Linked DNA regions of Arabidopsis thaliana. The protein of the gene in region 1 interacts with the protein of each later gene in a pairwise test. Each region holds a gene or a part of one and is shown in the gene's direction. Other genes may lie near its edges.

Region 1 (4,111 bases):
AAAGCTGAAGATCCAGATCGAGCAATGCCATAGCCAATGAGAACGGAAGAAGGAGTAGCGAAAGCAGCAAGTAGATAAGGATTTGAATCAGTGATTGTTGAAGATGAATATGAAGAGAGTAAATCGATAGATAATTTGAAGAGGAAAGGAACTTGAACATTCAAGAACTTAGCTCCTATGAGACACGCTAAAGCAGCGATGACTCTGAATCGGAGTTCTGGGTTGTCTTTCATCCATAGATAGCTTGAAATCGTGCGGAGGATCTTCTTAGATGATGCTGTTTTGGTTTGATCTTGATTTGGAGTTGAAGTTGAAGTTGAGAAGAAGAAGACTCGTGCGTTGACTGGAGATGGAGATGGAGATGGATCGGTGAAGAATGCATTGATAGCTGGTGATCTCTGAATTGAGCTACGTTTGATAAAACTGGAGAAACTGTGATGGTGATGATCAGAGCGAAGACGGTGATACAGAGAAGCGCGAGAGAGGAGAAACCGAGATCCCCTCATCATCGCTTCTTGTCCGAACGAATCACATACAATTTGGTCTAAATCGATTCTTTAATTCTCTGTTTTGTTCTCTCTGTACTACAGAGTAGCTTAACAAGAAGACGAGGAAGAAGATATCAACTCGGAAATAACCGGTTTTGGTTTTCTGTTTTTATTAAGATAATGAAATTAGCTATCTCGGAGATAACCGGTACTGGTTTGATTGCAACTGGGCTTGAGAGAATCAGATACGGTGGTACACACCGCAGCGAATCTCAGAGTATTCATTCTCTCACATGGACTCTTTCGAAAATTCAACTCTTCTACTATATGCAATTAATTAAAAAATTGAACGGTTTATTTGGAAAGTGAAAAGAAGCAACGGTCGGTTATGTCTTCCCTCCAGACGACAGGGTTTTTATTCGGACACCACTAAAAATGGACAGCTAAACTCCTTTATTGCCTTAAAAATTCAATTTTAATTACGTGATTAAAGATTAGATTGCCACTTGATTTTAAAATACTAATTAAACCTATATAGTGATGGTATCTAACTATCAATAGCTTTAAACCGGAACTAATCAGCACCGTCCGATTTGGAAAGATGGATGGACCAAAGGACGTGTGGGCACGAGTCCCCCCTCTCTGTACACGTGGGTCCCACTAAGCCTTCTAAGTAATCTTTTTCTAGCCGTCCGATTGAATCCCATGAAGCTGACATGTGAGCCCCCACTTCTTGAAAATATATATTTGTATGAATTTTGTTTTTATTTTATTTTCCAGCCTTTTAAAAATGTTTTTATTAATACCACGGATACTACCGTTTTGATATCAAATTTTCTTTGAAATCTATCCGATCTTATATCAGATTTTGGAGTCAAATACCAACTACAAAAATCTGAACATTAATACAATAATATACATTTTGAAAAATCATGTTGTCCATTATATTTTTTGGCATCTAATCCTATCGTTAATTGATTATAAGTTTATAAATATATTACAACGGAATTTCGCATAATTGTAAAACTTCCCTATATAAACTTACGAAAAATTGAAATAATTATACCAAAAGTCCACATATTTTATTTTAAAAACTTACATAAGTGGATATTGTTAAAAGAAGGAAAAAAAAAGAGTTTCTAGTAAATATAGTCACGGAATAATGTGAGAAATTTATTATTGGATCAAAAAAATGATAAAATTGGGCGAGAAATAAGACTAAAAGTTAGGGAAGTGAAAAAGAGACAAATCCCACCCGTCGTGTCTTCTTGTTCATCCTTTGTTTCCCTTTTTCTTTCTCACTGTTTCTGCCTTACTTAAAGTCTCAATCTTTGCTTCAAATTCAACCCATCTCTTTTTCCTCCCTTCCCTCACAATCAAAATCTTAATTCTCAGCTTCTGGTTTTGTCGAAAATGGAAGGCGGTTCCGCTAGTGGATCGGCTTCGGCTTTGTCAAACGATGAAAATCTCGTCGTTTCTTGTGAGGATTCTTCTTCTCCTATAGGGAATGAGCTTGAGCTTGGTCTTACGTTGAGCCTTGGTCGCAAAGGGTATCGAGATTGTAGGGTTTACGCTGATGATTCTTCTTCTTCTTCATCATCTTCTTCTCTGAGCAGAGCTAGCGTAATTGCTGGGATCAAGAGGACAGCTGATTCCATGGCTGCAACTAGTGGGTGAGTGAAATTCTCTTCCCTTTCCTCTTTTACATTTTGATCAATTATGGTTTATTTGGGGATTCTTAATATCATGATTATCAATAGAACTATAAATAAAGATTTGATTTTTGCTTTTTATGGTTATGGGATTGATTAGACAGAATGTCCTTGATCACAGTTATCTGAAAAGATTCGACCTTTGTTACGTATAGATGACTTTGAATGTATCTTCCTGATCATTAGATAGTTTGCTTTGGTCATTATATCTTCAAATTGAATCTTACTATCGTTTTCTAGAGATGACAGTTTTTTTCTTCTTGGATTCTAAAGTATTTATTAGCTTTGGAGAGAAAGTGATTAATCCTGTATAGTGATTCTCTTGGTATCTGATTTTACAAGGCCCTGAAGTGTTTATAACCCTTTTTATGTGTTTACTCTTATTTGAGCAATTTGAAACCTTTGAAAATGGCAGGCAAGTTGTGGGATGGCCACCAATAAGGACTTACAGAATGAACAGTATGGTTAACCAAGCTAAGGCTTCAGCCACTGAAGATCCGAACTTGGAGATAAGTCAAGCCGTAAACAAGAATAGAAGTGATTCAACAAAGATGAGAAATTCCATGTTTGTTAAGGTGACTATGGATGGCATTCCTATTGGAAGGAAAATCGATCTGAATGCTCATAAATGCTATGAATCATTGTCAAACACTCTAGAGGAAATGTTTCTGAAACCTAAATTAGGTGTGCTTTTCGAATCTCATGGCCTTTTTTTTGGTTCCTTTGAAGTTGGTTCTTGGTATGGGAAATGAAGTTATGATTCTTTCTTTAATCAGGTTCACGCACACTAGAAACCGATGGTCACATGGAAACACCGGTCAAGATACTACCAGATGGGTCTTCCGGATTAGTACTAACGTATGAAGACAAGGAAGGAGATTGGATGCTTGTTGGCGATGTTCCGTGGGGGTATGCATACATATGTTCTTATGCTTTTGATGCTTTGTCCCGTGTAAGCGTCAAATTCTGAAGTTTGAACCTGAGTTTTACTTGTGTCTAGGATGTTTATTGGTTCAGTGAGAAGGCTCCGGATAATGAAAACATCGGAGGCTACTGGTAAAGGTACATTTACTGATTCGATCAAATCCTGATATCTGTATTAAAATCATTGTTTTGTCGTTGTGACCGTGTTTGTGTGATCCTTGTTTACAGCTCAGATGATATTATGAAGCAAATAATAATCTACGAAGAACCCTTTATGTTTGAAGCAGTAATAAGACAGATCACAGATCAAAGAGAAGACAAAAACATTGTAAGAAGCTTCTTCTTCTTCTCTCCCCTTTACAGTTTCTTTTTTGGCTCTGCCATTTTTCTTTTAGTTAGTTATATGTTCTCTTTGTAAATCACACTTTAAAAATCTATAAGAAAACCCTTTCTTGCACAAAAACAAAACGGTTCAGAGCAATGCACAAAGTTAATATGATCATGTAAAACAAAGGAAACTTATTCTACATGGAAAAATTAAATCAAAAGATACATATCTCTCTCTCTTTCTCTCTTTCTTCTACATACAGAACACGAATCGAACGAATCAGTTTATCGGCCTCTTTTGATTCTTAAATCTCATACTAAAGAAGGCCATTTACAGGTGAAGTACTAAAAACCGATGAATGTTTCTCGGCCAAGCTACGACTAGTGTTCTCTTCATTACTATTACTTTTCCTCCTCGGTTTAGCCTCTCCGAGCATCGATATCACATCTCTCATCGAAGGTCTGTCTTTCGGGAGCTTTGTAGTGCAGAGAAGAGCAATCTGTAGAACTAAAAGCATCTCTTCTTGCACATATCTGCAGTTTCCTACGTTAGGATCTAATGCTTCTTCTAGTGATATGTTGTCTCTTATCTTCCTTCTCACCCACTCCACAATGTCTACTGATTCTCCAAACTCCGGTTCCAATGGTCTTCTTCCGGTT
Region 2 (7,845 bases), on another chromosome or scaffold:
AATTAACAAATAATGCATATCAGAATGACATAGTAAAGTCGAGAAAATCATGGAATCGTAACGAAACTTCCTCGTCTCTCTCTGATAATTCATCCAACTCAAGTGGTGTATTTTGTGGTTACATTTACATATATTGTCAACACCAACTGTCGAATTCATTAAATCGGCTAAAATACGTTGATGTGATTCTGGAAATATCTTTAGGACAGTATATGAGTTATTCATCTTGTTCATTTTCCACTTTCCACTGCGGACACCATACGGACACACAACCGGTTCTGAAATGCGTCACGCTCTTCTTCCTTTCATTCCAACTTTAATACATGCATGAAGTCGTAGTTCGGAGTTCATACTAAATTTCGGTCACTTTGTAATAAGAAAACTATTAACATTTTTCTTTTTCTTTTTTTAAACGTTAGCTAGGCCTCAAAGTTTCACAAAAAAAAAAGAAAAAAAAAAGCTAGGCGTCGAAATCCATAACTTCAAAAGGCCTTCTTACATTCATCCAATCTCCAAACTTCTGTCTTCACGCATTTATTGCTCAGGGACATCATGTCGCTACTCACTGCCACTTATTTGAATTGACATCCATTCATTCCATACATATATATTACCTTCACTTAAAGTTGTAAGTATATAGAATTTTAAGCATTCCTGCCAAATAAGTTTTGGATCGAACCTAAACTAACAAAGAGGTTACTGTTTTGTAACTTTCTTTTTTGATGTGGGGTCATTCAAAGGGTTTACATGCATTTTACAATGGTCTGTGATGAATATGGAGGTTCAGTCTTTGGTAGATAAAACTTGTTATGTGGCCTTAAACCAAATAGATTGTAGTTTGTACAATGACATATTTATGGTTATATTCGGTTTTCCAATATGTTTAGGAATATATATCACCGTTTTTTTTTGGGTAGACATTTTAACGATTATAGAGGAAAATTTTGAATGATGGCTGTACTGGGAAAAGAGTGTAAGTTGTGATCATCATATGTAATTTTATTTTGTGTGACATTATAACACTTCTTCCAAAAGACAAAAGTTTAGGTTAATTAATATAAGAAACCAATAAAGAATCATGAACAAAGAGAGAACTTCTATCATTTTTGATATGAAATCGTCCGTTAAAATATTGTTCTTTGTGATCGCATATGCTGTATGTACTTAGATTTGATCAATTAATCAACATTTACAACAAAATAAGATCAATTGTTTATAATGATGATCTAAGCGAATTTAGATTTGTTTGTTATTATAGAACTCATTACTAAACATTTAAGTTCCATTCTCGTTTAAAACATGAACGCTAGTTTATGAAACTCAGAACCAACCATGTAAAACTCCACAAAATTTCTAGTAAAATGCTTTTGTTCAAAATAATGAAAATCATAAAATTTTTTGATGAATTATGAATCCTAAAATCTATCTGAATTAAATATAGTTAACTACAAAAGAAATTGCCAAACATATATGTACGCACTTTGATCAAATAACTAGCTAGTCAGCTTAGTTTGTTTTTTTCAATACATCCCCTATAAATCTATGTTATCCCTAATCAAGTATTACAATAAATGATACAGTAATAATAACCTTAATGAAAAAAACTTATCAAATTATCAGAGATAAGGAAAAAGAAAACACTAATAAAGTTGTTTTTTTGTGTGTCAAAGTTAAAATTTTAGAGGACAATAATAACATTAAGAAATTAAATCGTGGCCAGTTTGCTAGTGAATATGTCGGCTTCATGAGCATAACTAAATAGGTATAAAAAAATAAAAATATCGGAAAAAGAAAAGAGAAGGAAAAAAAAAGGAGAGGAAGAAGAAAAAGCTGTTCCTGTGCTTTAGCAGACCTTTTGGTAGTTGTCCTGGTCGCTGATCATCCCTTTCCGACAACTCTGTTGCTCTTTCTCTCACGTTTGAGTCTTAATCTTCGATTGTCCTTGGTCATCCTTAAGTTTTGTTTTTCTCTTTCGATTCATTTTCCAGATTTCTTTTTATAGAAACCCGTCTCTTTGATTTGATTCCCCCCAAGAAAGGAAAGCAAAACAAAGAAGAGCAGCTGAATCAAGTAACTTTGTGGGTGTTTTTGAATTATCTGACTCGAGATAAAGAGCTTCGTTAAAAACGGAATCTTTTTTAAGGTCGTATGCTTTGTTTGTCTCTCCGGAGATTCCGCGTGTGAAAAGTCGTGGTTTTTGATCTCTTTGAGATACTTAAAATTTCCGAGAAATTGGCGGCTCTGTCGGAGATAAAAAGCTGAGATCTTGGAGTTCCCCATTTCTGATTAACGATTCTCTCTGCTGTTACTTGAGCTAGGAAGCTATTAACAACTTGAGTGAAAGTTTAGGGCTTTTGATGAAGCTCTCACGCAAAGAGCTTAGCTTTGTATAAGCTCAGATTCAGATTATTTATTGGGTTTATTCTTCAGAGAAAGTAAAGTTGAGTGATCATGAAAGCTCCTTCATCAAATGGAGTTTCTCCTAATCCTGTTGAAGGTTTGTGTGTTTCTCGTATCTGATAAATGTCAATCCTTTAGTAGAAGAAATTCATTGCTGGATTTGAATAGATTCAAGTTTTAAGTAGAAGAGGTCACACATTTCTTCAGAATTGCTGGATTTGAGAACCTGAATTGAATTGGTTTCGGTCATTTTCTGCTTAGAGAGTAAGCTAAGTTACTATTGTATTGGTTTATAAAGACTGTGGCTTTTAGTTGGTTTAGAGCAGTTCTCTCCTATCTTGTTGGTTTGATAATAGTAACTGAATGAAGATCCTAGAGATTTTAAGTAATCACAGCTTTGATGTTGTGTGAATGCAGGAGAAAGGAGAAATATAAACTCAGAGCTATGGCACGCTTGTGCTGGGCCATTGATTTCGTTGCCTCCAGCAGGAAGTCTTGTTGTTTACTTCCCTCAAGGTCACAGTGAGCAAGTATGTTGTTCAATAAAGTTTGGTATCATTCGCGGCTGATCAAGAATGAGTCGCTGATTGGAAATTTCATGTGGTTGCTATTTATTTTTCTGTTTCTTAGGTCGCGGCTTCAATGCAGAAGCAGACTGATTTCATACCAAGTTACCCGAATCTTCCTTCCAAGCTCATATGCATGCTCCACAATGTTACACTGAATGTATGGTATCTTTTAAATATCTATAATGGCCTCTTAGGCTAGTTGTTTTAACATTTTTTGCTTTTGAGTTGCTAATGTTTTGCTAATTGTCGACTGTGAACCAGGCTGATCCTGAGACGGATGAGGTCTATGCGCAGATGACTCTTCAGCCAGTAAACAAAGTAGCTTACCTTTCACTGAATAACTCGATTTATAGGTGTATTTAAGGAGTAGGGAGGGACTAATTGCTCTGAGCATTTTGTTGAACAGTATGACAGAGATGCATTGCTTGCTTCTGACATGGGTCTTAAGCTAAACAGACAACCTAATGAATTTTTCTGCAAAACCCTCACGGCGAGTGACACAAGTACTCACGGTGGATTTTCTGTACCCCGACGAGCTGCTGAGAAAATCTTTCCTGCTCTGGTGTATATACAATACTTTCTTATACATCTGATAGTTAGTATCTCTGTATTGCCTTAGTTTCTTACATTGTTGGCAATATTTTACTAGGATTTCTCGATGCAACCACCTTGTCAGGAGCTTGTTGCTAAGGATATTCATGACAACACATGGACTTTCAGACATATTTATCGAGGTTTTACCTTGTTTTTGGTAGATTACCTTCTTTAATCAATTTGGCTTTCGTAGAATTGTTCTTACGTTTTGGATATGTTGACATTTATCAGGTCAACCAAAAAGGCACTTGCTAACTACAGGCTGGAGTGTGTTTGTCAGCACGAAAAGGCTCTTTGCTGGAGACTCTGTTCTTTTTATAAGGTATATCAATCTCAATGTGCCAATGCTCTCTTTCGGTATTTTTTTTTGTCAAGATGCTAATTCTTTTTTTCTTTCAATTAAGAGATGGAAAGGCGCAACTTCTGTTGGGGATAAGACGTGCAAATAGACAACAGCCTGCACTTTCTTCATCTGTAATATCAAGTGATAGCATGCACATCGGAGTTCTTGCAGCTGCAGCTCATGCTAATGCTAATAACAGTCCTTTCACCATTTTCTACAACCCGAGGTGGCGATCTATGTTTCCTTTTGTCTACGTTAACCTTACTATATATGCTTGTTTCATGGCAATTGCTGAGAGATTTACAACCGAGTTTTTTCAGGGCTGCTCCTGCTGAGTTTGTGGTTCCTTTAGCCAAGTATACCAAAGCGATGTACGCTCAAGTTTCCCTCGGTATGCGGTTTAGAATGATATTTGAGACTGAAGAATGTGGAGTTCGTCGGTATATGGGTACAGTTACCGGTATCAGTGATCTTGATCCAGTGAGATGGAAAAACTCTCAGTGGCGGAATCTTCAGGTAGTTTGAAGTAAAACTCATGATGAATGTCAGATTTGTCTTTCTTGATACATTGCACCATTCATTTTAGTTATGCTTTGTTTCTGTTTCTGCTAAAGATTGGATGGGATGAGTCAGCTGCTGGTGATAGGCCCAGTCGAGTTTCAGTTTGGGACATTGAACCGGTTTTAACTCCTTTCTACATATGTCCTCCTCCATTTTTCCGACCTCGCTTTTCTGGACAACCTGGAATGCCAGGTAAATTTTTGTACCATTTCATTTCGACACAACTTCTTTGAATCTCCTCAAGGACGGAATTTCCGGTGCTCTTGCAGATGATGAGACTGACATGGAGTCTGCACTGAAGAGAGCAATGCCATGGCTTGATAATAGCTTAGAGATGAAAGACCCTTCGAGTACTATCTTTCCTGGTCTGAGTTTAGTTCAGTGGATGAATATGCAGCAGCAGAACGGCCAGCTACCCTCTGCTGCTGCACAGCCAGGTTTCTTCCCATCAATGCTTTCGCCAACCGCGGCGCTGCACAACAATCTTGGCGGCACTGATGATCCCTCCAAGTTACTGAGCTTTCAGACGCCGCACGGGGGGATTTCCTCCTCAAATCTCCAATTTAACAAACAGAATCAGCAAGCCCCAATGTCTCAGTTGCCTCAGCCACCAACTACGTTGTCCCAACAACAGCAGCTGCAGCAATTGTTGCACTCCTCTTTGAACCATCAACAACAGCAATCGCAGTCTCAACAACAGCAACAACAACAACAGTTGCTGCAGCAGCAACAACAATTGCAGTCTCAACAACACAGCAACAACAATCAATCGCAGTCTCAGCAACAACAACAATTGCTCCAGCAGCAACAACAACAACAACTGCAGCAACAACATCAACAACCGTTACAGCAACAGACTCAGCAGCAGCAGCTAAGAACACAGCCATTGCAATCTCACTCGCATCCACAGCCACAACAGTTACAACAACATAAGTTGCAGCAACTTCAGGTTCCACAGAATCAGCTTTACAATGGTCAACAAGCAGCGCAGCAGCATCAGTCGCAACAAGCATCTACACATCATTTGCAACCACAATTAGTTTCGGGATCAATGGCAAGCAGTGTCATCACGCCTCCGTCCAGCTCCCTTAATCAAAGCTTTCAACAGCAACAACAACAGTCTAAGCAACTTCAACAAGCACATCACCATTTAGGTGCTAGCACTAGCCAGAGTAGTGTAATTGAAACCAGCAAGTCTTCATCCAATCTGATGTCCGCACCGCCGCAAGAGACACAGTTTTCACGACAAGTAGAACAGCAGCAGCCTCCTGGTCTCAACGGGCAGAATCAGCAAACACTTTTGCAGCAGAAAGCTCACCAGGCACAGGCCCAACAGATATTCCAGCAGAGTCTCTTGGAACAGCCGCATATACAGTTTCAGCTGTTACAGAGATTACAACAGCAACAGCAGCAGCAATTTCTTTCGCCGCAGTCTCAGTTACCACACCATCAATTGCAAAGCCAGCAGTTGCAACAGCTGCCTACTCTCTCTCAAGGTCATCAGTTTCCGTCATCTTGCACTAACAATGGCTTATCGACGTTGCAACCACCTCAAATGCTGGTGAGCCGACCTCAGGAAAAACAAAACCCACCGGTTGGGGGAGGGGTCAAAGCTTATTCAGGCATCACAGATGGAGGAGATGCACCTTCCTCTTCAACGTCGCCTTCCACCAACAACTGTCAGATCTCTTCTTCAGGCTTTCTCAACAGAAGCCAAAGCGGGCCAGCGATCTTGATACCTGATGCAGCGATTGATATGTCTGGTAATCTTGTTCAGGATCTTTACAGCAAATCCGATATGCGGCTAAAACAAGAACTCGTGGGTCAGCAAAAGTCCAAAGCTAGTTTAACAGATCATCAACTAGAAGCATCTGCCTCTGGAACTTCTTACGGTTTAGATGGAGGCGAAAACAACAGACAACAAAATTTCTTGGCTCCAACTTTTGGCCTTGACGGTGATTCCAGGAACAGCTTGCTCGGTGGAGCTAATGTTGATAATGGCTTTGTGCCTGACACGCTACTCTCGAGGGGATATGACTCCCAGAAAGATCTTCAGAACATGCTTTCAAACTATGGAGGAGTGACAAATGACATTGGTACAGAGATGTCTACTTCAGCTGTAAGAACTCAATCTTTTGGTGTCCCCAATGTGCCCGCCATTTCGAACGATCTAGCTGTCAACGATGCTGGAGTTCTTGGTGGTGGATTGTGGCCAGCTCAGACTCAGCGAATGCGAACTTATACAAAGGTTCGATTGTGCTCTGATCTATGCTTGTTGATATTTGGGTTATGTTTTCGGTTTGACAAATGTTAAATTTTCCTACAGGTGCAAAAACGAGGCTCAGTGGGGAGATCAATAGACGTCAACCGTTACAGAGGTTACGATGAGCTGAGGCATGATCTAGCGCGCATGTTTGGGATCGAAGGACAGCTCGAAGATCCTCAAACATCTGACTGGAAACTTGTTTATGTCGATCATGAAAATGACATCCTCCTCGTCGGCGATGATCCATGGGAGTAAGTAGAGAGCAATTACATTCACACATCAGACTGTTAGAAGTTCCATTATTTTTTTGCTAACCTTTAAAATCGTGATTTTTGCAGAGAATTCGTAAACTGTGTTCAGAGCATTAAGATCCTTTCATCAGCTGAGGTTCAGCAGATGAGCTTAGACGGGAACTTTGCCGGTGTACCAGTTACTAATCAAGCTTGTAGTGGCGGTGACAGTGGCAATGCTTGGAGAGGTCATTATGATGATAACTCAGCCACTTCGTTTAACCGGTGATGGCAGAAGAGTTCTCTCACAGACAAAGATTCTTTTTTCTTCGTTTTGTAATATAACTTCTCGTTGATAACATGTCTCAAGTTTCCACTGGGCACTGTAGAGCATTTACCTGTAAAATATCTTCCACTAAGTTTACACGGAGATTTTATTTGCTGTGAGTCACTGTTTCTACCAAGTTTAACTGATCAACTGAAACCGCTTGTAACCAAAAAGAGAAGGAAAAACATGAAATCAGCAATAAAATCACATTTTCAAACTCAAGTCTTTATTCCAGATTATGCTCAGGCCGTTTACGGAAAAAATTTCCACAATTGGGATACAAGTTGCAGATTACAAAGATATAACATAACTAAGAAAGTATAGCCATCACATCTGAAGCTCTGAGGGCAATGTAGTTGGAACCATCTTTGCCCTTGAAGTCGTTACCAGCATACTTGGAGTAAAGTACTGTGCTTCCGGTTGATACTGGTAGAGGCGTAATTTTACCTTCCTCGTCTAGGGAACCCGGTCCAACTGCTATCACCTGCCATAAAATGAAGAGGAGAATATGTATAATTGGAACTTGTGTATGAACTGACTATCACATCAAGCTA
Region 3 (6,945 bases), on another chromosome or scaffold:
TATACGGAGAGGATTAATGTTGAGATACAGATATAGTGCGGCGCGGTGTACATGTGCTAGCAAAATTACTAGTTTACTAAGATTTGACTTCTTTTGATTGGCTTAGTGGAAATTCTCCCAAGCCACCATAGATGTTTTGACACGTTGATAGAATGTACTGTCAATGATTTTCAAGAGTGGGAAATTCACAGCTTTGTACTTTGGAGTTTGGAGGAACAACTGGAATGTTTGAGGTCGAATTTGGGAATTGAAATTTTTAACCCCTGGATGAGTTTATATTTGATTGATCTCTCTATTATGGGGTGTTGAATGTTATTTACAAAAAAAAAATAGTCATTGTTTTATGGACGAATAAATTATCTACTTGTCGTTTTTTTACCGAATAACGCATAAATTAGATTCAATACGGATAATTCCTAAAATAAAATAAAAACGGTTAGTTCTTCTAACATACGTTACTATAACAAACGTACTTGACGAGTTGGCATAAAAATGTATTTCTACTGTTTTAAAAGTAACGTACGATTCGTCTTGCATACTGTGACGAAATATGTAAATTCTTTTGTCGCTTAGTGATGATGTGAATTATTTTGATTCATAAAGTAGAAACTCGATACATACCTATTAACTAAACATGTATTATGTTGTGATTCATTTTTGCCTAACAAATAAAATTTATTAGCAAGAACCATTAAAATTTCATACTAATTTTGGATACTAAAATGTTAGATTGATATATAAGAAAAGTATATACTCAAAAAGATTTAACAATTTACCAATATTTAGTATTGGAATCAGTGTAGTGTTTGTTAGTACATGCTTTTCTACATTTAGAAACAGTTAAATTATAATTGCAAAAGGAAGCAATATTGAGGTATTAATAAGGTTTTACACTTTTACTTCAGCTAGCTTTGAATTTTAGAAGTTTTATGGACTATTAAATTATCTACTTGTCGATCTTTCATAAAAACTGTTGGCTCTTGCGAGAGATATGTGACCTTCCAATTGATCGCGAAGTGATAAGATGTATTCGATTTTTTCAGCTTATGCCATTTTTACAACTTTTCGGAAAAATGTTTCAAAATATCCATTATGAATTTGACATCCAAGTTATAAATTAGATAAAATTTACTTGAGATAACATATGGACATATAGATTTTACTTATTTATTAGAGTTCATTAACGAAAAATTATTGAGTTAAATATAGACATCTTTAAACTCGTTAATTTTAAAAAGAAATAATAAACAATATATATATATATATAAATATTTTATTTTCAAATTTTATTTATTTAAAGGGTTTTAATTTTTATTAACAGTTATAATATTTATGATTGTTTCCGGTTACTTTGATGCTATTTTCTCGTAATTCCCTTTTGTACATATATATTTAGAACCAAAAATTCAATCATTGAGAAGCATACTCTCTGTCAAGTGTAATTGATTCCTCCTCTTCATTTTTTAATTCTTCATTTCTTAAGTTTTATTAATTAATTGACTCACCTCTTCATCTTGTTTATTTCCAAGTAATTTTCCTAATGATGTCAATAAACAAAAATAAAAAGATTAAAATCACGCAATATCAGTAAAAAAGGAGAGAGGGTTAAATCGGTGGTGGACTTTGCAGCCCTAAACCATTGTTTCGCCTCGGAAAAGCCCATTTACACAATTGGGAAATAAATAAAAACAGAGTAAAGAAAGGAACGTCTTTTACTCTTTACGGTATCGCTCGCTTCTCTTCTTTCTCCTCAACACGAAGACCCCTCTTGCCTCTTTATTAGAGAGACCCCTTCCTTCTTCTTCTTCACCTTCACCTTCTTCCTCGATTCAGATCGTCTCCTCCTCTGTTTTATACTCACCCTATTCCTTCGAATCTCTCTCCATTTTTATCCCCAGATTCTCCCTTCTTCAACCTCGTCGACTCTTCTTCATCACTCTATTTCTTCCGATTGAGACTTCTTTCACTCTGATTTTCTTCGACCCTTTACGGATATATTCGGTCTTGAGTCTCCATCGGATTTGGATTTGAATGTAGGTATCTCGCACGAGAGTTGTTGTTTAACGTAAATCTGGGTTCTTTTTTTTGGTGGGTCGTTGTTTTTCTTCTACATGCAGTTTTGGGGATAGTACGTGCGATTCATCGATCAATCCTCGTTTAGATAGACATCAAGGATTTAAAGGAGTCGTTAAGAGAGCAATGGAAGGAGACATGGTGGCTAAAGTGAAGAGAGAAACGGTGGTGGCATGCATGACTTGTCCTCTCTGTGACAAACTCCTCCGTGACGCCACTACCATTTCAGAGTGTCTTCACACGTGTTAGTTCCTCTTTCCCCTTCTCGATTTACGTTTCGATTCGATTTTACCCGGTTTCTAATTTTCGCAATTTCTCGTCTTTATCGTCTTCTTTGATTGGTTCTCTGTTGTGTTTTTTTTTTCTTCCTCTTGCTGATTTGGATTGAATATCTGCATGATTCTTGTTGTTAGTCTCGTATGCCACTTATGATCTCCTCTATGTCTCAGTCGATTTGATGAAACTCGAGTCAATGAATAGTTTTGTTTGGTTTTCTCAACTAAAGTAATAGTTGTTGTTGAGCAGAATTTGTAATCTTTGTTTACATTTAGACTGCAAGAATCCTCCTTTATTCGTCTCTTTAGGTAAAATTTGTGAGTGTCTTCTTCTTCGTCAAAGATGGTTTGGTCAAACTCATGACGTCCAAATTTGGTTTTGGCTAATCATGTTGTTAGTTAGATTCAGTTGCTTTGTTATATCCAACTTGTAAGTTTTGTGTTAGGAAGTTCGAGTAACAAGTGCTTTAATCTACTCTCATCGGTTTAATGTAAGTTAATATTTGGATTAAGTAGCATTTATCAGCCTCTTTCTTCTACATGATATTATACAATTAAGACAGTTTAGATCATTTTCTGTTTGGAATGGCTTAATTTATTTCTTTTAACATACAATCCAGATTAGTAGTGAGTTTTCTGCATGTTGAAGTATTTGCTGATCTCTGTAATTTATTCAAATTTAGTTTATATTCCTTTTGGAGTCTAAATCAATCTACCATTCCAAGCTTTACACAACCAATTCTTTGTTACCGTTTACGGAGAAATATACCTTGTTACTCTGTAATTATTTTACTCATTCCATCTGATTTTAAAAAGGTAAATGTTAACAGTTCGGTTCCGTTGTACAACTGACCAACTGCTTATCTCAATTTAATAAAATTTTCAGAACGCCCTGCAGAATCTCTTTTTGAGTTACTGCAGTGCCAAAATTAGGTGTTAAATGCTTCACGGTTTTGTTTCTGGGGATGAATGCAGTATCCCCATCAAATTTGTGATTCCATCTCTTTTGTTTAGGTTGGTAGCTATGGATTTTCTTGATTTTAAAACCAAACAGTATGATGCTCATTAACCACTTGTCTACAAGCTTCTGCCATGACAACTAATATAACTTGATGCAGTAGAGACCATACCAATTATCGGCCTTGCTATAATGGATTTGGTGGAAGGAGTCCGATAATCTAACTTGCATCTAATAAATTCAAACTTGGCAGCGAGCCAACTTGCATTGAACCTCAAACATTATGCTATTCATTCTTTACTTAAACTTTTGATCTGAGAAATTGTTTGTTTTTATGTAAGTTGGTCGCCTTTATTACAAAAGATTTTGTTCTTACTTGATAGTTACTATCTATTGAAATGAAACAAGTTCTTATATCACTTTTATGCAGTTTGTAGGAAATGCATTTATGAGAAAATCACAGAGGATGAGATAGAGAGCTGTCCAGTATGCGATATTGACCTCGGGGGTACCCCACTGGAGAAACTAAGGTAAGTTCTTCTTCTTCTTTATTCCTTACACAATTTTCTCCTCGGTCTTGGTTTAGCAGTGATTCCTTGTATAGACTGTTAGAAGCCTTTTGGCTCTTACTGTTGATGAAACGAAGTTTTCTTACATAATGCTGAAAAGTTGTACATGATTATGCTGAGGTGTGCCACATATGGAAGGTTCTTCCGTAATTTTTGTGGCATAGTGTGAAGTTAATCAAGAAAAGTCATTTCGATTCAGAAGCAGTTATGACCTGAATATGTTGGCTAGTTTAATACTTTCGCTGACACCAACAATTTTTTGTTAGAACCTGAAACAAATCTCTTTAGTACTACACTCTCTCTTACTAGTTGGTCACCAGTAAGAGCTTTGTTGGTGGCGAACTTATTCATTTTCTAAAGAACCACTCTTATGTATTTATTTTAGGCCTGACCACATTTTGCAAGACTTGAGAGCCAAATTATTTCCTCTAAAACGTAAAAAGGAGAGAGCGCCTGAAGTTGTGTCCTCCATCTCATTACCTGCAAAGAGGAAGGAGAGGTCTATCTCGTCTTTGGTGGTAAGCACACCCAGGGTTTCAGCACAAGCTGGTACAACAGGAAAAAGAACAAAAGCTGCTACGAGAAAAGATGTAAGAGGTAGTGGTTCATTCACTAAGAGAACAGTGAAGAAGGAAGAAGAATTTGGAGATGATCATGTAGAGAGCGCAAGCTCGCCTGAAACACTTAAAAAGTTTACTCAGAATAAAAGACAGGTAAAGAAGGTGATCATTGCAGTTCTCTCTTTACCTTTATGTTTTACTTTTTCTCTTTACCAAGTCCAAACACAACGTTATGACTGATTATGGTCTTTATATAGTTCCCCATACATTTATTTATTTATTAATTCTTTTTTTGCAGTCTTCATATGCAAATCCTAACCAGTCCCTCTCTAATCGAAGAAACAAGGATGTTGATGAACCATGGGATTCCAAATTACATCTTTGGAAACCTCTAAATTTTCTTGTGGATGTGGCAAACGGAACAAAGGACCCAAAATCTGAGCTTGGAAACGCATCCCACAATGATGTTCAGGGGAGTAAAACCAAAACAAAGGATCATAAAAGAAAGTGTAAACTCGAGGAAGAGATCAGCAATAACGGTGATCCTACAACATCAGAAACTGCTACACTTAAACGAACGCGTCGGACTCGTCGCAAAAGGTCATCTACTTTTGGTGATTCTAGAATTCCACTGTTACCAGGTGCAGCAAGCCTAAAACAGGAGAGGAGAAACGGTCATGTTTGGTTCTCACTTGTAGCGTCAAGTAATCAGTGAGATTCCTGTTCTGTATCTGAGACTCTGAGTACTTCTGATATTCAATATTTTCTGTGTCTTTTCATTTCTATCTCTTAGTGACACGGCTTTACTGGTTTCAGGGAAGGAGAAGCATCATTGCCTCAGATTCCAGCAAACTACTTGAGAATAAGGTAAGTTGTTCTTTTTGCTTTGCTCTGTTTCTTGTCACTAAGTTTTTATATGTCAACTGTGAAGTCTGTGATCAAATATTACTTATTATTGCATTGATGGCTTTGAATTCGATTTCGCAGTTGTTTTACCCGAGTTTCCATGTCATGTTTGTTTTCTGTGGTATACGTTTCTTGATAAAGCCTTCTTCTTTTTTGGCCCATCACACCTAATCCTTGACTGGGAGGTGTCTATTTTCTTGTTTGGGAGAATTATATTGTGCCAGAGTTGATCCCCTGTCTCATTATATGGTAGGGATGGAAATATTCCAGTTTCTTTTATCCAAAAGTACCTCATGAGGAAGCTTGATCTCAAGAGTGAAGATGAGGTAAGCAATCTTATCTTATGCAGTGGCTACTTTTCTGTTTTATATGAGGTATCCACTCGGTCTAATATGGAATCACATAGACCGTAGTTCTATACATTGGTTCAAGTCTTGTGCTTATCAATATGACTGTAAGGTCCCCATAAATGTTTAAACTAAAGTTAACTCTCCCTTTTATTTCCGACTTGTGTACCGGGTGATATCTTATGATCTGGGACTTTTTCGACCCACCGGTGTTGAACCTTAACTACTCTATGTTTTTTTTTTGTAAACAGGTAGAGATAACATGTATGGGAGAACCAGTGATCCCAACGTTGCAGCTTCACAGCTTAGTAGACCTATGGTTGGAAACAACTTCTAAGCATCAAAGAGTCGCTGCGTCAATAGGTTCATCTGCAAAGGAATTTGTAATGGTGCTAGTTTATTCTCGGAAGCTCCCTGAATGCAACAACTAAAGAGCTATTCATTGAATCTTTTCTAGACCGAGAAGAAAGAAAAGTGCAGGAGCAGTGGAATGTCTTGTGTAGAAAGAAACTTAGCAATTTATATTTATTTAATTGTAATCTTAAAATTTGAAACATTGGTGTGAGACAGACACTTTGTTTGTTTATCCAAGAAGATTCAAAAATGGCTTTTTAAAGGAGATTGTGTCCTTTTTGGATATTTGAATGTATGATTAGGATAATGTTGTCATTTCTATAAATATTTGTTTCCTTGTTTGGACTAAATGGAGAAGTACACGGAATCCTTGTGAATCGAATGACTTAGCCATTATTGAGAAGTCAAAAGAAAAATAACCAAAAAAAAACTTGTGAAGTGTACCTTTAATACAAGAATTAAAGAGAGATGTATAAAAGTTTTCTAACAATTTTGTTCACCAAAAAAAAAAGTTTTCTAACAATTTTTAATACAAAATGCAAAATTAAAGATGAATTTTCTTATTTCTTTTTTTAAAACATAATTTTGAAGAAATTTGGTTGTCTTTTTGCATTTGTTTCTAGATATTTCTAAACTGTTGGGAAATAAAAAAATTTGCACACAAAACATAGTTAAATTCACGTGGTATTTATAGAGATTTACTTCAACCAAATTTGGATTTTGGGTCATTGTTTTATGGACGGATAAACTATCCATTAGTCAAATTTCCACAAAAATAATATGTGAATTAGATTCGACAAGGCTAATTCCCCCACAACATACGATACTAGAACAAACGTACTTGACTACTTGACGTAACAATGTTTCTCTTACTGTCTTGAAAATAACATATAACTCGTTCAT
Region 4 (6,135 bases), on another chromosome or scaffold:
GCTTTACATGGTCGTCCTAAATCAGAAAAAGCTTTACTTGCGGATTTGGCTTCGTTGGTGTATAATGCTTATCAGGTTTTGATTGTTCCTTCTTTGAGAATCCCTGTGTACTTTGAGGATACGTTGGTGGTTCAGTTTATTCATGTGTATGGGTCAGAGGTTAAGGATTCGAGTGGGTTAGATTTGGAGTTTGTGAAGAGAACGTTTATGGATGAAGCTGAGAGTGGTGGGTTGTTGTTAGGTGAACAGAAGTTGAGTTTTAAGAGTTATAGTGTGAATTATAGAGAATGTTCGATTTGTTCGTTTGCGGTATCTCGTGGGATGAATTCGTATACTTCTAGGTTTTTGTTTGATAACTATACTTTGATTGTGAGTGAGTATTTGGATTCTAAGCATATGCATCGGGCGTTGACTGATTCGGCTGAGGAGTTGAGGAGAGTTGCGGGGATTGTTGAAGAAGAAGGAAATGAGTTTGCTAGGGTTTTACCTGTTTATGTGTTTGATTTGGATATCAATACGCCTTTGTTGCTTGATCGGTATCATCAGTCTGTTGCTTTTAGAGATATGGTGATTGCTGTTAGAACTAGAGGAACTCAAACGGTTAGTGATTATACTTGCAACGGGCGTCATGTGTTTGTTCATACGAGAGACTTAGAACGACCTCTCGTTGGTTCCATTCTGCAGAGTATGTGGGGTGTATCTTCTACTCATTTGACATGGAGCCCGAGACATAACACAACTCTAGTTGATTATACATGGAGCATTGGGCAAACACCGTTTGGACCATTCTCTGATATCTCGTCTCTATCGTTTGTTCAGAAAGATGCTGCTAAGAGAAACGTGATTTTGACATCTTTGAACACAACTATCACAAGTGCAATCGATGTTATCGATTCCGCGGTTGCATATGGAGGAGATGTGATCCTACGGAAACAGAATCGCCACTCTGAGTTCATGCAAAGGTGGAATCTTATGCAGTACAAGCTGGATAAAACGGTTTCTGCTCTATCACACAATGAGTTCGAGATGGCTTTGTTCTACTTAAGATCAGCTTCACACGACTTGTACTCAGTGCATTCAGTAGTGTACCTCGCGTCACAACGGGTAGAAGCGAGTCTCAACTGTTTCAAAGATCCACCGTTCCCATGGGGAACTGTTTCAGTGTCGGGATTCGGGTTAATGGCTGTTGGTTACGTGTTCTCGAAAAGAGATAGACTCTTTAGGAACAAACGAAAACAGTTCTGAAGAATTCTAGCAATGCAGGGTAATTTATAGTCATTACATTGGATAAAAAGACTTTGATAGTTTGGTTTTTGAGGTTAATACAACATGTACTACTATTATGAGCTTGTTTCCATTTGGTAATGTTGAACAATAGAGACAATGCTCGGATCCTCTGTTTGGTTGTCTATTTATTTTGAATAGCTCCATCACATTCCTATTGTCTCCTTCAATAATCACTTCTCCATACCCTTAGACCGGTTTTCCCCTCCTAACCAAAGCCAAACAAAACCGAAGTAACCGGTTTGGTAAACCGAACCCGCATGCCTACATAATTGATATAAAATTCTGTTTTATAAGAGGTTTCTTTTCCAAATGTGAAAAAATCCAAAACTCAAAACAACCTTCTGTTTTTACCGTTTTTTGATAAAGGTCTTTTTCCCAAATCTGCAAAACCAAAAACTCAAAAATTCAATTAAACCGGAAAATCTAATTTTCGAAAATTGGTTTTCTTCCCAAAATTAAACCGCCTGAGTGTCTATGTATAAAAGTTGATATCATAGTTTGGAAAAAAAAAAATCACTCTCTCTCTTTCGCTCTCGCTTTCTCGTCTCTCTCGTGTCTCTCAACAGAAAACCATGGCGGACGGCCACTCCTTCAATAATATCTCTCTCAGCGGTCGCGGTGGAAAGGTACCATCTTCTCTCTCTGTCTCCTTCTATCTCTCAAGATCTTTCAATTCCTTCAAAGTTTTCACCTTTTCCTCTTCCTTCGAAAACCCTAATCTCCTTTCTCTGTATCCCCTTTTGCTTCCGCCGCTCGATTCTTAAAGAACTCAATGAGTCAAATTTAGGGTTAAAAAAAAGATTGTCGCTTTCATTTTTCAGTTGTGTTGTTTTCTTGTTTACAATTGTTAAAGCTGCGGTAGTTTTTAGGGTTTTCTTAAGGCTAATTAGGGTTTCAATTTTGGTTTTTTAGAACCCGGGTTTACTTAAAATCAATTCTGGAGGAATTCAATGGAAGAAACAAGGTGGTGGAAAAGCTGTGGAAGTTGATAGATCTGATATTGTAAGTGTTAGTTGGACGAAAGTGACAAAGAGTAATCAATTGGGAGTCAAAACCAAAGATGGATTGTACTACAAGTTCGTTGGATTTCGAGATCAGGTTTGTGTGTGTATATCTTTTTTATTTGATTTGATATTGTAATGTTTGTGCTTGTTCTGATTCCTTTGTTTTGTAGGATGTTCCAAGTCTGTCTAGCTTTTTCCAAAGTTCTTATGGAAAAACACCGGATGAGAAGCAATTATCAGTTAGTGGTCGTAATTGGGGAGAGGTGGATTTACACGGTGAGAGTTCTTATAGCTTTTAGGCTTTACTTGTGGTTGTCTAGTTTCATTTGTGGATCTAAAGGGAGAATTTTTTGTTTCTTTGTGTAGGGAATACACTAACCTTTTTGGTTGGATCAAAACAAGCTTTTGAAGTATCTTTAGCTGATGTTTCACAGACTCAGCTTCAAGGGAAAAATGATGTTACTTTGGAGTTTCATGTTGATGATACTGCTGGTGCTAATGAGGTACTGGTTTCTTTTGATATGTAATCTCTAGGCTGTTATGTATGTACATTTACTGATTTATATTCTACGTGTTTACAGAAAGACTCGCTGATGGAGATTAGTTTTCATATTCCTAATTCCAACACTCAGTTTGTTGGTGATGAAAACCGTCCACCTTCTCAAGTGAGTTCCCAAACTATTTTCATTATATGTATGTGCCTCAAGTATATATTTTTTTCTGTTGATGCTAAAAGAATGTCTCAGGTTTTCAATGACACAATCGTTGCAATGGCTGATGTTAGTCCTGGAGTTGAGGATGCGGTCGTCACATTTGAGAGTATTGCAATCCTCACACCCAGGTAAAGAGTTGATTACTTAAACATTTGTTGCACTATTGTATGGCTTCATCTTGTCATGACTAAATGATTTGGTTGTTTCTATCACAGGGGTCGGTACAATGTGGAACTTCACCTTTCTTTCTTACGATTGCAAGGACAAGCTAATGACTTTAAAATCCAGTACAGTAGCGTTGTCCGTTTGTTCTTGCTTCCAAAGGTAATTCTTTTTTAAGCATATCTCAGGGCAGTTACCTATGTTAGCAGTCATCAGATTAAAGGGATTATCGTATTATGATCACTGAATCGTGTTCACATTAATTGAGTTCGTATTTTTTTTTATATGCCTGAGCAGTCAAACCAACCACACACGTTTGTTGTTATCTCTCTAGACCCACCAATCCGGAAAGGTCAGACAATGTACCCCCACATTGTTATGCAGGTAAACATTACTTACATTTTTCCTTCCATTTCAATTTTCTATGTATAATTTTCGTTTTTTTACTCTGATTTACATAACTGTTTTTGCATCTTCTCCAGTTTGAAACAGACACCGTTGTCGAAAGTGAACTGTCAATTAGTGATGAACTTATGAATACAAAGTTCAAGGACAAGCTGGAGCGATCATATAAGGTTTCTGTCTGGTCTGCACTTACATTATTGTTCCTGAATAAAAAAATTTATACATACGCTGAATTGTATGAATTTTCAGGGTCTCATTCATGAAGTATTCACCACCGTGTTGCGTTGGCTGTCTGGTGCAAAGATCACTAAACCTGGGAAGTTCCGCAGTTCCCAAGATGGGTTTGCAGTGAAATCGTCTCTCAAGGCAGAAGATGGGGTTCTTTATCCACTCGAGAAGGGATTTTTCTTCTTACCTAAACCTCCAACGCTTATACTTCACGATGAGGTAAATTATGGTTATTAAGGATTGGAGATTTTTTATAGGCTTTGAGATAGAGTTGGGTTTTCTAACCTGTTTTTTTTTCGTTTTTAGATTGACTATGTCGAGTTTGAAAGGCATGCTGCTGGTGGTGCTAACATGCATTACTTTGATCTTCTCATAAGACTGAAAACTGACCATGAACATCTGTTCCGTAACATTCAAAGAAATGAGTATCACAATCTCTATACCTTCATAAGGTTAGCGCGGATTATTTCATTGTCTCCGTCTATATTTACTGAGTGCATTTAAGATTTGTGGTGAATATTCCTTATGTTTTCTTGCTGCAGCTCTAAGGGTTTGAAGATTATGAACCTTGGAGGTGCGGGTACCGCAGACGGTGTTGCTGCTGTTCTTGGGGATAATGATGATGATGATGCTGTTGACCCTCATCTTACGCGTATCAGAAACCAAGCTGCTGATGAGAGTGATGAGGAGGCAAGTACTTTATGTCTGACCGAATTACTTCATATTCTAATGATCATGTGTTTGATAATCGAGACTTTTAATTTATGAAGGACGAAGACTTTGTTATGGGTGAGGATGATGATGGTGGTTCACCAACTGATGATTCTGGCGGGGACGACTCTGATGCTAGTGAAGGCGGTGTAGGAGAGATAAAAGAGGTAAACTTTTGTCGCATTCATTCGAACTCTTTCAGCAGCAGTATTTGTTTCTCATATCTTCCTGTCATTGACTTGTTATAGAAATCTATCAAGAAGGAACCTAAGAAAGAGGCTTCGTCATCGAAAGGATTGCCTCCTAAGAGGAAAACTGTAGCCGCAGACGAAGGCAGTAGTAAGAGGAAGAAGCCGAAGAAGAAGAAGGATCCCAACGCACCAAAAAGAGCAATGTCTGGTTTCATGTTCTTTTCCCAAATGGAAAGAGATGTGAGTTCTTCTCTCCTTTCTTTTACTTTTACCTCTATGATGTAGGCTAAGTTGCGAAATGGAGTATCCTCGGTCTATTACATACATGAGAGCAAACAATTAACAGACAAACTTAGCACATTCCTGATTATGTCATTTTCCATTTGTGAACTGAACAGAACATAAAGAAGGAACACCCAGGAATAGCATTTGGAGAGGTGGGAAAGGTGCTTGGAGATAAGTGGCGTCAAATGTCTGGTAAAAAATTTGAAGATCCTTTTCAAAAGTAAATACATTACTTGGTTTTACTTTATCATGTGAATGTGTTTTAATTCCCCAACCGTGTGTATGTATAGCTGATGATAAAGAGCCATATGAAGCCAAGGCTCAAGTCGACAAGCAGCGATACAAGGATGAGATCAGTGATTACAAGAACCCTCAGCCGATGAATGTGGACTCAGGAAACGATTCCGATAGTAACTAAACTTTGATTCTCCAACATTCTCTACTAGTATCTCATTTACCTACAATACTAAGTTATGGCATGTAGTAAACGTTGGACCTTTAGTTGTTTGGAGTTAACCAGATTTTTCTCTTTGACCTTAAAGATCTTGTGTTACTTCCTAGAAAAGAAGAGCCTGTCTTTACCTCAAAATATAGAGTACTCTGGTAAGGCCATAGCTAAGAAGCAACAAAACAGATCGTGTTTCTATCGAAATTGTTATACAAGAGGTTCTGTATGATGAAAGTTATGGACAAGAAGCATCTAAAACCTTATGGACAATGGGACGAGCTTTACACATAGCTTGCAACGATGTAGCTTTTCGCATTGTGGTTCCTTTTTCACTTTCTCTCATGTCTAGATACTTTTCTTCAACCCTCTCCCACTCAAAACATTGGACCAATGATCCAAGAGCCAAAGTCACTAGCCGTTGAGCTAGCCCTGAACCAGGGCAAGATCGTCGTCCAATCCCAAATGGCATCAACTTTTTATCCTCTCCTTTTTTCTCAAACCTCTCCGGCTTAAATTTTTCTGGCTCTTCCCATAACTTTGGATCTCTATGGATGGCCCATGCATTCACCAAGATGATTGTGCCGCGTGGAACGTCATAGCCATCAACTATACAATCTTCTGATGCTAAGTGGGGTAAAAGCATTGGAGCCACCGGATAAAGCCGTAAAGTCTCTGACACAATGTGCTGAAGGTAAGGAAGT

The links.
Region 2: the proteins of IAA11 (region 1) and NPH4 interact in a two-hybrid assay, tested with the Arabidopsis thaliana proteins (2 studies listed by BioGRID).
Region 3: the proteins of IAA11 (region 1) and DRIP2 interact in binary tests that used the Arabidopsis thaliana proteins (3 or more experiments, as listed by UniProt).
Region 4: the proteins of IAA11 (region 1) and HMG interact in binary tests that used the Arabidopsis thaliana proteins (3 or more experiments, as listed by UniProt).

What each region holds. Positions count from the first base shown.
Region 1 is NC_003075.7:14,140,387-14,144,497, forward strand, and holds IAA11 (indole-3-acetic acid inducible 11), read left to right. Parts: upstream 1-1,748; 5' UTR 1,749-1,901; coding exon 1,902-2,161; intron 2,162-2,615; coding exon 2,616-2,884; intron 2,885-2,976; coding exon 2,977-3,109; intron 3,110-3,200; coding exon 3,201-3,262; coding exon of another isoform or gene 3,263-3,291; exon of another isoform or gene 3,292-3,352; coding exon of another isoform or gene 3,353-3,357; coding exon 3,358-3,542; 3' UTR 3,543-3,583; downstream 3,584-4,111. Other genes in the region: ABCB23 (ABC transporter of the mitochondrion 1), read right to left, coding at 1-509; AT4G28650 (Leucine-rich repeat transmembrane protein kinase family protein), read right to left, coding at 3,769-4,111. UniProt on the Arabidopsis thaliana protein: Aux/IAA proteins are short-lived transcriptional factors that function as repressors of early auxin response genes at low auxin concentrations.
Region 2 is NC_003076.8:7,016,111-7,023,955, reverse strand, and holds NPH4 (Transcriptional factor B3 family protein / auxin-responsive factor AUX/IAA-like protein), read left to right. Parts: upstream 1-1,842; 5' UTR 1,843-2,451; coding exon 2,452-2,497; intron 2,498-2,817; coding exon 2,818-2,930; intron 2,931-3,030; coding exon 3,031-3,126; intron 3,127-3,230; coding exon 3,231-3,287; intron 3,288-3,375; coding exon 3,376-3,531; intron 3,532-3,618; coding exon 3,619-3,703; intron 3,704-3,794; coding exon 3,795-3,885; intron 3,886-3,967; coding exon 3,968-4,135; intron 4,136-4,226; coding exon 4,227-4,422; intron 4,423-4,520; coding exon 4,521-4,659; intron 4,660-4,736; coding exon 4,737-6,715; intron 6,716-6,793; coding exon 6,794-6,984; intron 6,985-7,071; coding exon 7,072-7,252; 3' UTR 7,253-7,486; downstream 7,487-7,845. Other genes in the region: CPN20 (chaperonin 20), read right to left, coding at 7,602-7,775. UniProt on the Arabidopsis thaliana protein: Auxin response factors (ARFs) are transcriptional factors that bind specifically to the DNA sequence 5'-TGTCTC-3' found in the auxin-responsive promoter elements (AuxREs).
Region 3 is NC_003071.7:13,024,245-13,031,189, forward strand, and holds DRIP2 (DREB2A-interacting protein 2), read left to right. Parts: upstream 1-1,666; 5' UTR 1,667-2,199; coding exon 2,200-2,317; intron 2,318-3,736; coding exon 3,737-3,836; intron 3,837-4,260; coding exon 4,261-4,588; intron 4,589-4,733; coding exon 4,734-5,146; intron 5,147-5,251; coding exon 5,252-5,302; coding exon of another isoform or gene 5,303-5,306; exon of another isoform or gene 5,307-5,594; coding exon 5,595-5,667; intron 5,668-5,939; coding exon 5,940-6,119; 3' UTR 6,120-6,417; downstream 6,418-6,945. UniProt on the Arabidopsis thaliana protein: E3 ubiquitin-protein ligase that acts as a negative regulator of the response to water stress. Mediates ubiquitination and subsequent proteasomal degradation of the drought-induced transcriptional activator DREB2A. Functionally redundant with DRIP1.
Region 4 is NC_003074.8:10,783,095-10,789,229, forward strand, and holds HMG (high mobility group), read left to right. Parts: upstream 1-1,793; 5' UTR 1,794-1,859; coding exon 1,860-1,913; intron 1,914-2,199; coding exon 2,200-2,385; intron 2,386-2,461; coding exon 2,462-2,567; intron 2,568-2,657; coding exon 2,658-2,794; intron 2,795-2,872; coding exon 2,873-2,956; intron 2,957-3,037; coding exon 3,038-3,132; intron 3,133-3,219; coding exon 3,220-3,328; intron 3,329-3,463; coding exon 3,464-3,550; intron 3,551-3,648; coding exon 3,649-3,741; intron 3,742-3,820; coding exon 3,821-4,018; intron 4,019-4,105; coding exon 4,106-4,251; intron 4,252-4,341; coding exon 4,342-4,489; intron 4,490-4,569; coding exon 4,570-4,677; intron 4,678-4,758; coding exon 4,759-4,941; intron 4,942-5,099; coding exon 5,100-5,178; intron 5,179-5,276; coding exon 5,277-5,404; 3' UTR 5,405-5,635; downstream 5,636-6,135. Other genes in the region: AT3G28720 (uncharacterized protein), read left to right, coding at 1-1,245; CYP81D11 (Cytochrome P450 superfamily protein), read right to left, coding at 5,670-6,135. UniProt on the Arabidopsis thaliana protein: Component of the FACT complex, a general chromatin factor that acts to reorganize nucleosomes. The FACT complex is involved in multiple processes that require DNA as a template such as mRNA elongation, DNA replication and DNA repair.